Anolis sagrei: one gene and its partner. The protein of the gene in region 2 interacts with the protein of the main gene of each other region in a pairwise test. Links are inferred from orthologs where the notes say so. Each region holds a gene or a part of one and is shown on either strand. Other genes may lie near its edges.

Region 1 (7,201 bases), on a different chromosome or scaffold from region 2:
GTTATTCTTCATACTTCTTATCATCCTTGTTGCCTTTTTCAACCTGCTTCAACATGCCCATATCCTTAAAATATGGTGCTTAGAATGGAACACAATACTCTATAGAAAGACTTCTTAAGTTTTTCCACTCATAACCCCTTTTGGCCAATACATTTTTATGTGACACCGGGTATGTAGGCATTTAAAATATGCATTAATCTAACATCTACGGATAAAATCAGTATTTGCAAATATTGCTAAAGAGGCTGATTTCCTTTTTACGAAGCACAGATGAAACACAACATGTAAATGACTAAAACAGCCATTATGTGATGGCCAGAAAACCTTTACTGTTGCCAGTTTTAGGGGACTCCATTTGTGTTTGGTATCCATAGTTAAAGAGGCAGTGTTCTAGGTGAGGCCTGATTGTTGTAATTACTGGAATCTGAAGAATCAATTCAGGACAGGAGCAGCATTTATTTCAGAAGGTGAGTGGGGGCCCTTCTACACTGCCATATAATCTAGATTATCAAAGTAGGTAACCCACATTATCTGCTTTGAACTGGATTTTATGAGTTTACAGTACCATATAATCCAGTTCAAAGCAGATAATCTGGATTTTATATGGCAGTGTAGGGTCCCTTCCACACAGCTGTATAAAATCCACATTGAACTGAATTATCTGGCAGTGTGGACTCAGATAACTAAGTTCAAAGCAGATATTGAATATAATGTAATACAATAATAATACAATATAATATTGTAATATAATGATATTAATATATTAATATTAATTATTAATATTTATATATTAATTACTAATAATATATAATATACTGTTTTATTATGGTATATTTGTAGTTGTAATTTTTTTTTATTGTGAACCGCTTTGAGTCTCCATATGGAGAGATAAAGTGGGATTTAAATAAATAAACAAAATATTGTAGATTATCTACCTTGATATTCTGAGTTATATGGCTGTGTGGAAGGGCCCTAGAAGGGGCTGGGGGTCCTTCCACACAGCCATATAAATCAGAATATCAAGGCATATCATCACAATATCTGCTTTGAACTGGATTATCTGAGTCCACTCTGCCAGATAATCCATTTCTATGTGGATTTTATACACCTGTGTGGAAGGGACCTAAGCCTTGGGTTTGCTTTGGTTAATACTTGAATAGGAAGCCACCAGTGAATACCAAGGGCTGTAGGCTATCTTTCAGATGGAGTTCACAAAACCATCGCTGAGAATGCCTGCCTAAGAAAAATGGATAGTGATTTAAATACACACACACACAATCATATATATGTAAAAACCAAAGTATCTTGTGTATGTTGATACTATGAAGGCTCCTACATGTTTGGTGGATCTGGACTATATTAGGAACACATACCCTTCATTATCCAACTTAAGATAAAATAAGGCTGTTAAGAATTGTGGGAACTGAAGTCCAAAACACCTGGAGGGCCCAAGTTTGTCCATGCTTTGATTAGAACATTAAAAACCCATACCTTTTGAGCCCAGAATTGAGGGAAATAAAAGGAACAAAACAGATTGGCTGGTGCTAGGTGAAATGTCCTGTGACAAGTAATGGAAAAGGGAGCAAAGCAGATTCACTGCTACTAGGTGACCTGTGTATAAAGGCATTGAGGGAGGAAAAGAAAGGGAGAAGGAGAGATGGAAGGGGAAGACAGAAAAAGAACAGAAGGAAGAGAAAGAGAGGGGAGAAGGGTACAAAAAGGGAGGGAAGAAAGAAAAACAAGGGAAGATGAAAGTAGAAGGGGGAAGGTGTATGTAGGAAAAACAAGGAAAGAAGAGTGAAGGACTGGGGCCTCTGCCACCTAGCTGAATAAAATCATACATCATATGCTTTGAACTGAGATATATGGCAGTGTGGACTCAGCCCTTCCACACAGCCCTATAACCCAGAATATCATGGCAGAAAATCCCAAAATATCTGCTTTGAACTGGGTTACCTGAGTCCACACTGCCATATATCTCAGAGAGAATGGGGCAGAAGACAGTTCCATCTTGTCTCCTGCCTATATCATCAGTTTCGAGGCCTCCCCCCCCCCCCCCCGGCACCAACTGCTGCTCTGGGCCAGAGTGAAGAGAGTGGGGGGCAGAAGACCGTTCCATCTTGTCTCCTGCATATATCATCAGTTGGGAGCCCCCGGCACCAACTGCTTTTCTGGCTAGAGTGAATAGAGAGGGGGCTACAGTTGAAGACAGTTCCATCTTGTCTTCTGTGCTTTACTAATAATATAATATATTGTACATTCATATAATATTTATAATATTATAATGTAATACAATATACTACTACTAATATAAAATTACCCCCTCGATGGACCGTCACCTTGTCGTGGTGAGGGGGCTTGCGTGTTCCAATGAACCTGCGAGCACAATGACTGGAGTCATGCACTCCCAGGAGTGGCCGTGGGGGAGGTTCCAGACCAAGCACAGTCCGAAGACCCAAAGACTTTTTTTCTTTTATTGGGTTTTTTTCCCACTCCCACCCTTCCCTCCTTGTATATACAATTTATACATCAAACTACAGAAGTTACATTTGAAATATCAGTCTCAGTCTTAATTTTTCTACTCCACATCTTAACACATTTTCTAAATAATTCCAAAGACTTCAACAGCGGAGCAGACGGAGGATAACATGGTACATGTTACAACGGCTGTGAAGGCGGAAGAAGGCTGCAACAGATTGAGAATCATAGAATCAAAGAGTTGGAAGAGACCTCATGGGCCATCCAGTCCAACCTCCTGCCAAGAAGGACTATTGCATTCAAATCACCCCTGACAGATGGCCATCCAGCCATCTGTCAGGGGCCATGGTGATCTTGGTAAACTATGCCACCCGAGGAGCCTCACTTTATATTACACGTAATATTACTAATAATGTTATAATATAATGGCGTAGTACAATATAGTAATATATAATACCCATATTGTACTATGCTAATAATTTAATATATGAGGTCACAGAGTTGGAAGCGACTGAACAAATGAACAACAACAATGTATATATACATTAGCTGCTCTGAGTCCCCTTCGGGATGAGAAGGGCGGCATATACATGTCATAAATAAATAAATTCCAGTTCAAAGCAGAGCGTCATACAGGGAGCATACCACCCCTCTGCTATGTCAGCTCCACTGGCTGCCGATCCAATTCCGAGCACAATTCAAAGTGCTGGTTTTGTCCTACAAAACCCTATATGGTTCCGGCCCAGCGTATCTGTCCGAACGGATCTCCCTCTACGTCCCGCCTCGGAGTTTAAGATCTTCTGGGGAGGCCCTGCTCTCGGCCCCGCCTCCATCACAAGCAAGATTGGCGGGGATGAGGAGCAGGCCTTCTCGGTGGTGGCCCCTCACCTGTGGAATTCTCTCCCTGGGGAAATTAGATCAGCGACATCCCTCCTTTCCTTTAGAAGGAAATTAAAAACATGGATTTGGGACCAAGCAGATGAATAAAGGACTACGACGACCGATAAGAATAGATAATGTAGAACGAAATATAGACTGAGTTGGCGAACGCTGAGCTTGAGATTGGTTTATTGACTGTGATATATATTGATTGTTTTAACAGTCTTAATTGTTTTAATTGCTGTTTTACACATTTATTTGTATTATTGTGTAGGCATCGAATTGTGCCTTTTTGCAAGCTGCCCTGAGTCCCCCGTAGGAGGTTGAGAAGGGCGGGGTAGAAGTACACGAAATAAATAAATAAAATAAATAATGTAGGATTTTCTGCCTTGATATTCTGGGATATAGGGCTCTGTGGAAGGGCCCTCAGATATTCCAGTTCAAAGCAGATATTGTGGGATTTTCTGCCTTGACATTCTGGGTTATATGGCTGTGTGTGGAAAGGTCCATGGAGTATGAAGGAAAGGGAGGAATGAATGAAAGAGCCACCAACAGAACACAACAAGTCTTTGGTTATCTTTTATTTCCTTTCCTCCTTGAAAAGGTCAGGAGTTCATTTTTCCTCCCTATGGAGGCAACATCCTTTCTGGGCTGGGACTTGGGATTCACCCTGTTTTATCATTCAGCTGCTCTTCTTCCTTTTCCTTGTGGTGGCGCGCACGGATGACGCCATCAGCGGGCGCCGCAGCATGCGTTGCCTTGGCGACCAGCGGCGGCCTAGTTCCTCCCTGGAGTTCGCAGAGGGAGGCCTTCCTCGGAATGGCCAGTCGCCGGAGCCGGACGGGCCCGCTGCAGAGCGCCCTGTGCCGGGGCAGAGAGCTCCGGGAGCAGGTTTGGACCTGGGTTACTTCCCGCGGGATGGGAGAGGAGAAAGAGGAAGGGTGCAATGGCGGCTCTTCTCACAGCACAAGAGACAGACAGGCCTGGGCCAACTTGGGCCCTCCAGGTGTTTTGGACTTCAACTCCCACAATTCCTAACAGCCGGTAGGCTGTTAGGAATTGTGGGAGTTGAAGTCCAAAACACCTGGAGGGCCCAAGTTGGCCCAGGCCTGTACTAAATGCTACACCTTCAGTTGAGTAATCTGTAATGGCTCTAAACAAGCTCCCAATGCTTTTGGGAGTTCTTTCTTGTTAAGTTTTACATACACATAACTATTTTTGCATGACTGAATGCATCTCTATTTTACTATATATTTTAGGTCAATGCTTTGCTTCAAGAAAGCAAGGAAGCCGGAGCCCAAGACTCAGAGAAAAGGAGAAGCCTGTACCAGAGGTATTTATTTATTCACAGCGACGTTTATTGTCATAAGCTGTCTTTAATATAGGTCTAAATATTTTGGGGATAATGGTGACATGTATTTTGAATTCTCAAGTTTGATATGTTTTGCCGAAAATGTGATCCTACCCTTTGATAAACAGTATTTATTAATTTATTTACTGTACTAGCCATTCCTTTCTACGTGTTGCTGTAGCCCAGTCTATGTATATTTGTTTTGTGTGTGTATATATGTGTGTATATTTGTATATTTGTATTTATGTGTGTTTGCATGTGGATTTGCGCATACATTGTCATTTATTTTTTGTTTTTTGGCTTTTTAAGTCTCTTCTGCTGTGTTTTCCAATGTTTTATGAGTGATGGTCACTTGGCCTGCTAGGTGTCTTGTGTCCAAATTTGGTGTCAATTCATCCAGTGGTTTTTGAGTTATGCTAATACCACAAACGAACATTACATTTTTATTTATATAGATTTCTGCCCCACTCTTTCTCACCTCAGAGGGAACTCAGAGCGGCTTCCTATTTTGGCAATTATTCAATGCCACATTGAAACATAAAAGCATTCAAATACACAACACATTGAACTATAAAATCAAAGTAAAGTATATAAATACGATTAAAAAACTGTTAAAACATTGCACCTAATCCCATAATCATAGTCCAAGCTGCTTCATTTATTTTTACTCCATGGATGTATGTTGCACTGTGGTTGTGCTATTCCCCAAATGCCTGGTTCCACGGCCAAGTTTTTACTTTATTTCTTAAAACCAGGAGGGAGGATGCCAATCTTGATATTCTCCAAAGCTGTATGTGTCTTGATATTCTCCAAGGCTGTGTGTATAGAGAGGGATTCCTAAATGTTTGTTCTAGGGAGTTAAGTCACTTTATATGTGGTGTAAAGAGGAAAAACACCTGTTCTTTTATCTTTCAAAGTCTGAAATTTGTAAAGCAAAGAGTGCTTGGTACTTTCATAGTATTCCAACATTTGAAAACAGAATTGTGGAAATTAGCATGGACATCTTCCATACAAGTTTAATAGAGCTTTCCCATGTCTGTGTGATGCAACCAATTGAGAAATGACATTTATAACCCTGGAGCCAAAAATCATGTTACATACTATAATAGGCAAGTATATAACAGTTAAAGTGTGTACTAAGATTTAAAAAATTACAAACCGGAAGCTGCAACTGGTTTAGAGATCTGAGGCCATATTACTAACTGGGGCTCCGAACAGGGAAATAACCACTTCCATGTTGCAGCCGCTACACTTGTTGCCAGATTACTTCTGGGCTAAATTCAAACTGCTGGTTATTACCTTAAAGCCCTAAACAGTTCGGACCCAGACTATCTAACAAATCACATCTCCTTGTACAAGCCTGCCCAGGCTCTTTGATCAGTGGAGGAGGCCCTGCTCTTAGTCCCACCCCATCTCAAGCACAGCTGGTGAGAACAAGAGAGGGGACCGTCTCTGTGATCACTCCCGCCTTTGGAACTCTCTTCCTAAAAAGGTTGAAACAGCTCCCTCTTTAACTTCCTTTAAAAAACAACTTAAAACTTCCTTATGTGCTCAGGCATATAAAACCGAGAAGGCTTGGTATCTTATATGGATTACTCACTCTGGTTGCTGGCAGTAGTTAATTTCATGACTCTTCCATTTTATTGATGGATTATTACGGAATTGTAAATGTTGTGTGTTATTATTGAGGTTTTTTTTTTTTTTTTGGTTTAAATGTGAATCTGTGAGGCCTTTGGGTGGGATGGTTATTTATGTATTTTTCTTTTGTATGGCATTGAATTCAAAGCAGATAATCTGGATTTTACGTGGCAGTGTAGATAGGGCCTGGGCAACAAAGATTATGGGTAATTCCCAAGTGGGCCAACTGCAATCTAGAACTGTGTTATGATTATCCAGAAGAGGGAGCAGTTGGGACGTTTGACTGTGTTTTCTCAGTCAGGGAACATAGTACAGTGCTATGGGGTTTCTCAGAGCTGTTCCACACAGCCATATAACTTAGAATATCAAGGCAGAAAATCCAACAATACCTGCTTTGAACTGGGTTGTCTGAGTCCACACTGCAGTATATTCCAGTTCAAAGCAGAAAATGTGGGATTTTCTTCAGCTGTGTGGAAGGGGCCTCAGTCACAACATATGTGCAGAAAGACATGATAAACCGGAAGGACTGATGTGTGCACATATAAACCAACAGTCAGAATGCTCCACTGCTATCCCCTAGCCAAGAGAGCTGTAGTGGCATTTCTGCAAAGTAGCAAATTGTACGGCTGGTCTAGTAAAAGTTAAGGACAAAGCAACATTTTGGCTATGAGAACTGTCTTTGTGTCTGCTTATATAAAATATAGAATCATAGAATCCATGAGTTGGAAGAGACCTCATGAGCCATCCAGTCCAACCCCCTGCCAAGAAGCAGGAAAATTGTATTCAAAGTACCCCTTTGATTTTGTAACCTTTGATTTTGTTGTAGATGTTTGGAGTTGAAGAGATCTGTGGATG
Region 2 (8,074 bases):
GTTGTTGCTGGCACTAGAACAACACTCAAAAACAGGGGAAATCCAGACAAGAAACCATCAGGGCCAGCTAATCACCTTCCAACAAAGGATTCCCCAAAGCGGTAAGAAGCCAAACCTTGAAACTGCTAGGCCATTGAATGCCAATCAAGGTGGCCAATTGAAACATTCGCATCTACCTCAAACAGACAAGAGTTCTTTCTCCCACCTTGGACATTATTCCAAAAAAACTCACAACCTCTGAGATATGCAGGCGAAACATCAGGAGAGAATGCTTCTGGAACATGGCTAGACAGCCCGGAAAACACACAACAACCCAGTGATTTTGGGTTGTGAATGTTGTTGGCACTAGAACAACACTCAAAAACAGGGGAATTCCAGACAAGAAACAATCAGGGCCAGCAAATCACCTCCCAACAAAGGATTCCCCAAAGCGGTAAGAAGCCAAACCTTGAAACTGCTAGGCCATTGAATGCCAATCAAAGTGGCCAATGGAAACATTCGCAACTACCTCAAACAGACAAGAGTTCTTTCTCCCACCTTGGACATTATTCCAAAAAACCTCACAACCTCCGAGGATGCCTGCCGAAACGTCAGGAGAGAGATGCAGGCGAAACGTCAGGAGAGAATGCTTCTGGAACATGGCTAGACAGCCCAGAAAACACACAACAACCAGTGATTTTGGGTTGTGAATGTTGTTGTTGGCACTAGAACAACACTCAAAAAACAGGGGAATTCCAGACAAGAAACCATCAGGGCCAGCTAATCACCTCCCAACAAAGGATTCCCCAAAGTGGTAAGAAGCCAAATCTTGAAACTGCTAGGCCATTGAATGCCAATCAAGGTGGCCAATGGAAACATTCGCAGCTACCTCAAAGAGACAAGAGTTCTTTCTCACACCTTGGACATTATTCCAAAAAAACTCACAACCTACGAGATATGCAGGCGAAACGTCAGGAGAGAATGCTTCTGGAAAATGGCCAGACAGCCCGGAAAACACACAACAACCCAGTGATTTTGGGTTGTGAATGTTGTTGTTGGCCTCCTTGATTAGCACTCAAAAACAAGGGAATACCAGACAAGAAACCATCAGGGCCAGCTAATCACCTCCCAACAAAGGATTCCCCAAAGCGGTTCGAAGCCAAACATCAGGAGAGAATGCTTCTGGAACATGGCCATACAGTTCGGAAAACTCACAACAACCCAGTGATTTTGGGTTCTGAATGTTATTGTTGGCCTCAAAAACAGGGGAATTCTGGACAAGAAACAATCAGGGCCAGCTAATCACCTCCCAACAAAGGATCCCCCAAAGCGGTAAGAAGCCAAACCTTGAAACCGCTAGGCCATTAAATGCCAATCAAGACAGCCAATTGAACCATTTGAGCCCCCAGTGGCGCAGTGGGTTAAACCCCTGTGCCGGCAGGACTGAAGACTGACAGGTCGCAGGTTCAAATCCGGGGAGAGGCGGATGAGCTCCCTCTACCAGCTCCAGCTCTTCATACGGGGACATGAGAGAAGCCTCCCACAAGGATGATAAAAACATCAAATCATCTGGACGCCCCCTGGGCAATGTCCTTGCAGACGGCCAATTCTCTCACACCAGAAGCAACTTGCAGTTTCTCAAATCGCTCCTGACACGGAAAAAAAACCTACCTCAAACAGACAAGAGTTCTTTCCCCCACCTTGGACATCATTCCACAGGTATATAAACCCCATTTTCCTAGTTTCCAACAGACTTCACAACGATAGATGCAGGCAAAACGTCAGGAGAGAATGCTTCTGGAACATGACCATACAGCCCAGAGAACTCACAGCAACCCGCTGTTCTATCCCTCTTTGCTTCCCATCTGTGTTTTTTGAAAATTCAGAATAATATGTATATATTAGGAAGGGATTAAGGTTGGTTAAAAGAATGAAGGGAAACAGAACCTCATTCTGGGAGAAAGGCCGGATATAAATCCAACAGACACACTAAGGAAATACATAAAAATGGGCGCCGGTTTCCATCCCGGGCCAAAGAAGTCCGACCTTGGCTTGAGGAAGGACGCAAAATCCCGAAAGCACACAAATGCACAAAAAACACACACAGAGAATACACACACACAGTCCCATCTTCCAAGGTCGAAGTGCCCAGAGCCTTGGCTTTCTCTTTTTTCTCCAAGGCATCTACATTGGGGAATAAATGCAGTTTAGTATCAGTTTAACCATGCTAAGGAATCTTGGGAGTTGTAGTTTGGCAAGACTCCAACAGAGAAGGCTCCAGACCTTCCCAAACTATACCTCCCTGGATTCTCTTCACCATTGAGCTGTGGCAGTTAACAGTAGTGTCACAAACTGCATTGAGGACAAAGTCAAACCTTTCCAATTTGGATCTGTCTTTCCTTTCTCTCAAAGATGGGGCCAACACTAGGGAGGGGGGGGGTAGAGAAGAGATTGAAGCCTAAAACGTTGGCTAGAGAAGAGATTGAAGCCCCCCCCCCCCCCCAAGAGAAGGACTAAGGGGCCAAACCCTTTCCTTCCTTGGAAAGCAGAGCCTTCCTCCTTGCCTACCCAAAGCGCATTCCGTGCGCCCTGGCCTCCATTTGGAGAGGTCCTGGGGGGACCCAAAAGGGAAGGCTCTCCCTCGCCAGCCCGGCGACCCAGCCCCACAAATGACCCACCGATGGATAGCTAAGAGCCCCCTCTTTCCCCCCACGTCGCCCTTTCCTCACCAGGTAGTTCATCTTCCCGGCCAGGCCGCGCGCAACGGAGGGGCGGCCGCAGTGACCGTGCGCCCTTAACGCATCGTCCCAGGCTCGGTTCTCTTCCTCCTCCTCTCCTCCTTCTCCGACGCCTAAGCCCGGCGAGTGATGTAAGCCAAAGGAGGGGAAAAAGAGAGCAGAGAAAGCAGGAGAGTTGCTGGCTAGGACGCCTCTTCCATTGGCTGCTCGGGAGAAAAGGAGGCGGCGCCGGGAGGCAGCGATGGGACGGCGGGGAGAGGCTGCCTCCGCCTGGCACCCGGCAGGGATGGCGGGCCAAGGAGGAAGAGGAGGGAGGGAAGGAGGAGGGCCAAGGGGAGGGCGCCTCTACGTTGCCCCCGCCTCCAACTCCTCTCTGCCTGCCTCTCCAGCAAGGGACAACGGGCAGGGATCCGCAAAGGTCGCCTAGTCTGACCCCCAGAGCAAGCAAGAGAATATCCCTGCTAAGTATGCACAGAGTATGATTGTCATTATCATTCACAGGGAACCAGAGGTTCCCAGAAGACATCACGGCTCTGTTTCACCATTGCCTCACCACCAGCTACTTTCAGTGGGACAATGAGTTCTATGAACAGAAAGATGGAGTAGCTCTGGGGAGCCCTCTCAGCCCGGTCATAGCTAATTTCTACATGGAACACTTTGAAGAACAAGCCCTGGAAACAGCAACCAAAAAGCCCACGATATGGTTCAGAGATGTGGATGACACCTTCACCATTTGGAGCCACAGAGAAGAAGAACTCAACAGGTTCCTGGACCATCTGAACAGCATCCACCCAAACATATGGTTCAGATATCTGGATGACACCTTCACCATTTGGAGCCATGGAGAAGAAGAACTCAACAGGTTCCTGGACCATCTGAACAGCATCCACCCAAACATATGGTTCAGATATCTGGATGACACCTTCACCATTTGGAGCCATGGAGAAGAAGAACTCAACAGGTTCCTGGACCATATTAACAGCATCCACCCAAACATATGGTTCAGATATGTGGATGGCACCTTCACCATTTGGAGCCATGGAGAAGAAGAACTCAACAGGTTCCTGGACCATCTTAACAGCATCCACCCTAACATCCAGTTCACTATGGAAAAAGAAAATGAAGGAAGACTGCCTTTTCTAGATGTCCTCGTCATCCGCAAACCAGATCAACAATTGGGTCACACCGTCTACAGAAAACCCACACACACAGATAGATATCTACATAAAAACTCCAACCATCACCCAAGTCAAAAAAGAAGCACCATTAAAGCCTTGGCAGACCGTGCAAAAAGGATCTGCGAAGCCCACCTCCTCCAAGATGAACTGAACCTCAACTGGGCTCTCCAGGCCAATGGAAACTCCACCTCAGACATCGGAAGAGCTGCAAGACAACCGAGAAGAAGCCACAAGAGTCAAGATGAAGATCCACCCAGAGGAAAAGTGTTCCTGCCAGACATCAAGGGAACCACTGATCGCAGAGGGAAGCTGATGAGGAAACACAACATACAAACTATCTACAAACCCACCAAGAAAATCCAACCAATGCTATGTTCAGCAAAGGACAAGAGGGATCCTCTCACTTCTGCAGGAGTCTACCGTATACCATGCAGCTGTGGACACGTCTACATAGGGACCACCAAACGCAGCATTGCCCAAACACGCATCAAGGAACATGAAAGGCACTGCAGACTACTTCAACCAGAGAAGTCAGCCATAGCAGAGCACCTGGTGAACCAGCCTGGACACAGCAGATTATTTGAGAACACAGAAATGCTGGACCACTCTCACAACCACCATGTCGGACTACACAGAGAAGCCATTGAAATCCACAAGCATGTGGACAATTTCAACAGAAAGGAGGAAACCATGAAAATGAATAAAATCTGGCTACCAGTATTAAAAAAACTCTAAAATTACAACAGCAAAACAGCAGAGAGTAAACAATCAGGCACATCAAATCACCTCTCAACAAAAGATTCCCCCAGGAACTTCCAAGCCATTAAATACTAATGAAGGTGATCAGTTGAAACATTCACACCTAGCTCCAGCACACAAGAGTCCTTTGTCCCACCCTGGTCATTCCACAGATATATAAACCCATTTTCCTAGTTCCAACAGACCTCACTACCTCTGAGGATGCTTGCGAAACGTCAGGAGAGAATGCCTCTAGACCATGGCCATATTGCCCGAAAAAAACCTACAACAACCCAGAGTGTTGGGTACTTTGTGTTGTAGGCCTGAGCATGCATTATATCATTGCTATTGTTGTCGTCATTTTTAACAGGATATCCCAGAGGGTTATGTAGTCTAATCCAGGAGCAGTGCAAGGCAGAGAGTTAGGTACTGTGTGTTGTAGTCCTGAAGATGCACAGTGTATCATTGCTATTGTTGTTGTTGTTCACCGGGATCTCCAAGTGTCATCTAGTCTAGTCCAGGAGCAGTGCAAGGACGCCTCTACGTTGCCTTCCCAGTAAGGGAGAATGGGCAGGGATCCCCAAAGGTCGCCTAGTCTATCCCCAGGGCAAGCAAGAGAGTATCCCTCCTAAGCATGCACAGAGTATGATTGTCATTATCATTCACAGGGATCTCCAAGGGGTATCCTGTCTAATCCAGGAGCAGTGCAAGGAAGAGAGTTGAGTACTGTGTGTTGTAGTCCTGAGCATGCATTATATCATTGTTGATGTTGTTGATGTTAATAGGGATCTCCAAGGGCTATCCAGTCTAATCCAGGAGCAGTGCAAGGAAGAGAGTTTGGTACTATGTGTTGTAGTCCTGAGCATGCATTATATCATTGTTGTTGTTAACAGGATATCCCAGAGGTTTATGTAGTGTTGAGATTAACTTCACAATTCAGCAGCAGATCAGTTGCACAACTTCAGCGCTTTCCAGTAGCTTCTTCCTGCACAGTATTTTCAGTCAACTGCTCCCACAACCTGCAGTCACTCTGGAACCTTTTACAGACACTTGAGCACATGCCTGGCCATTGTCAGTTTTACTATTGTCTTTCCCCCAGTCTAGATGACATTACAAACTTACCACAGCACACAGTTATATCTTGTCTTAGCAGACAGGTTCTTTTAATCAATTACATAGAGCCTTTGACGAACAACATCACAGCACAAGGAGAGATATACACTGTACATGACTTCCTTATATACAATTCTATACAATTACACATAGCAATCTCTGATTGGTTCCCAACTCATTAACTTAACTCAGACCCAGGATTACATCATTCACAATCACCTGGACTAGGCCAGAACACATTCCCCAAATGAAGTTCCCTTTATACAGTTAATGCATGACTCAGCATTTCCAATAGAAGCCCATTAGCAGTGCATGACTCAGCTATAATACATTACAATACATTGTAAAACCTGACATGTAGTCTAATCCAGGACCAGTGCAAGGCAGAGAGTTGGGTACTGTGTATTCTAGTCCTGAAAATGCACAGGGTATCATTGCTATTGTTGTTATTGTTCACAGAGATCTCCAAGAGCTATCCTGTCTAATCTAGGAGCAGTGCAAGGAAAAGGGTTGGGTGCTATGTGTTGCAGTCTTGAAGGTGCACAGTGTATCATTGCTGTTGTTGTTGTTCACAGGGATCTCCAAGGGTCATCTAGTCTAGTCCAGGAGCAGTGCAAGGACGCCTCTACGTTGCCTCCCCCTCCAACTCCCCTCTGCCTGCCTCTCCAGTAAGGGGGAATGGGCAGGGATCCCCAAAGGTCGCCTAGTCTGACCCTTAGGGCAAGCAAGAGAGAATCACTCCTAAGCATGCACAAAGTATGTTTGTTATTATCATTCACAGGAATCTCCAAGGGGTATCCAACTAATCCAGGAGCAGTGCAAGGAAGAGAGTTGGATACTGTGTGTTGTAGTCCTGAGCAGGCATTATATCATTGCAATTGTTGTTGTTGTTTGTTAACAGTGTTCTCCAATGGCTATCCAGTCTAATCCAGGAGCAGTGCAAGGAAGAGAGTTGGGTGCTATGTGTTGTAGTCCTGAGCATGCATTATATCATTGCTATTGTTGCTGTTGTACTCCTGAGAATACACAGAGTGCTGCTGCTCTTGTTGTTGGTACTAGGAACACCCAAAGGTCACCTAGTCTAACCCACTATCTCTAAAGCACTTTAAAACCATTTCAGATAAATGTTTTTGATGCGATTGTTTCTTTAAATGTTTATTTACCAATGGTTCAATAAATAAACAAAAGTAATTGTTTATTTAACTGTTGCTTTGATTGTATTCTGTTTTATAGTCAGCACAGTTGAACACCTCTGGGTGTTTCCCACATGGAAAGCTTTAAATAGCCTTAGGGCTCTGTTCCCATGCAGCTTAAACCAGGTCTGGTGATGGTTGATCACTGCTGTGACAAGTCATTTCAGTAGGCAAGATTCTCCTTCCCAGTTATGCAAGAACCAGTAGCAAGCAATGCATGCATGTATCCACACTGCAGAATGAATGCAAGTTGATACCACGTTGAGTGCCCTGGCTCCATGCTTTGGAATTTTGGAAGTTGTTGTTTCACATGGCTTTTCACCTTCTGTGCCAAAGAGGGCTGGTGCTTCTCCAAACTACAACTTCCAGGGGACTATGGGACTCTGGTGGGAGGGATAAGTGGGTATGTTTTCTATATCATGATTTCTATATTTCTATATTTCTCCCTGTGTGCCTGACCTTTTCCTGACCCTTTTGCCCAATTCCCCTTTACTGAAAAAATGTATAAAAATATAAGAAGCCACCCCGGTGACCCTGGAAAGGAGGAAATCCTCTCTGGATGTAGGTGAACTACAACTCCAAAACCAAAGGACAGTGCCCACCAAACCCTTCCAGTATTTTCTGTTGTTCATGGGAGTTCTGTGTGCCAAGTTTGGTTCAATTCCATCGTTGGTGGAGTTCAGAATGCTCTTTGATTGTAGGTGAACTATAAATCCCAGCAACTACAACTCCCAAATGACAAAATCAATTTTTTTGAGTGAAGGACATACATTGAGTTGTTAGGTGTCTTGTGTCCAAATTTGGTGTCAGTTCGTCCTGTGGTTTTTGAGTTCTGTTAATACTACAAACGAACATTATATTGTTATGTATATAGATTTAAGTCGTTGACGTGCTGGCTGATACCCAAACAGGGGATGAGCTGGAGATGTCTCTGCCTTGGTCCTTTCACTATTGGCTGCCACTTCCCGGCGGATGTCAGGTGGTGCAATACCGGCTAAGCAGTGTAATTTCTCCAGTGGTGTAGGGCGCAGACACCCTGTGATAATGCGGCATGTCTCATTAAGAGCCACATCCACTGCTTTAGCGTGGTGAGATGTGTTCCACACTGGGCATGCATACTCAGCAGCAGAGTAGC

Evidence for each region.
Region 1: the proteins of BCAR1 (region 2) and NPHP1 interact in a two-hybrid assay, tested with the Homo sapiens proteins (2 studies listed by BioGRID). The link is inferred for Anolis sagrei from reciprocal best matches to the Homo sapiens genes BCAR1 and NPHP1.

What each region holds. Positions count from the first base shown.
Region 1 is NC_090021.1:23,492,065-23,499,265, reverse strand, and holds the start of NPHP1 (nephrocystin-1), read left to right. Parts: upstream 1-4,094; 5' UTR 4,095-4,176; coding exon 4,177-4,248; intron 4,249-4,616; coding exon 4,617-4,690; intron 4,691-7,172; coding exon 7,173-7,201. UniProt on the Homo sapiens protein: Together with BCAR1 it may play a role in the control of epithelial cell polarity. Involved in the organization of apical junctions in kidney cells together with NPHP4 and RPGRIP1L/NPHP8. Does not seem to be strictly required for ciliogenesis.
Region 2 is NC_090028.1:4,790,809-4,798,882, forward strand, and holds the start of BCAR1 (breast cancer anti-estrogen resistance protein 1), read right to left. Parts: upstream 3,018-8,074; 5' UTR 2,721-3,017; coding exon 2,709-2,720; intron 1-2,708. UniProt on the Homo sapiens protein: Docking protein which plays a central coordinating role for tyrosine kinase-based signaling related to cell adhesion. Implicated in induction of cell migration and cell branching. Involved in the BCAR3-mediated inhibition of TGFB signaling.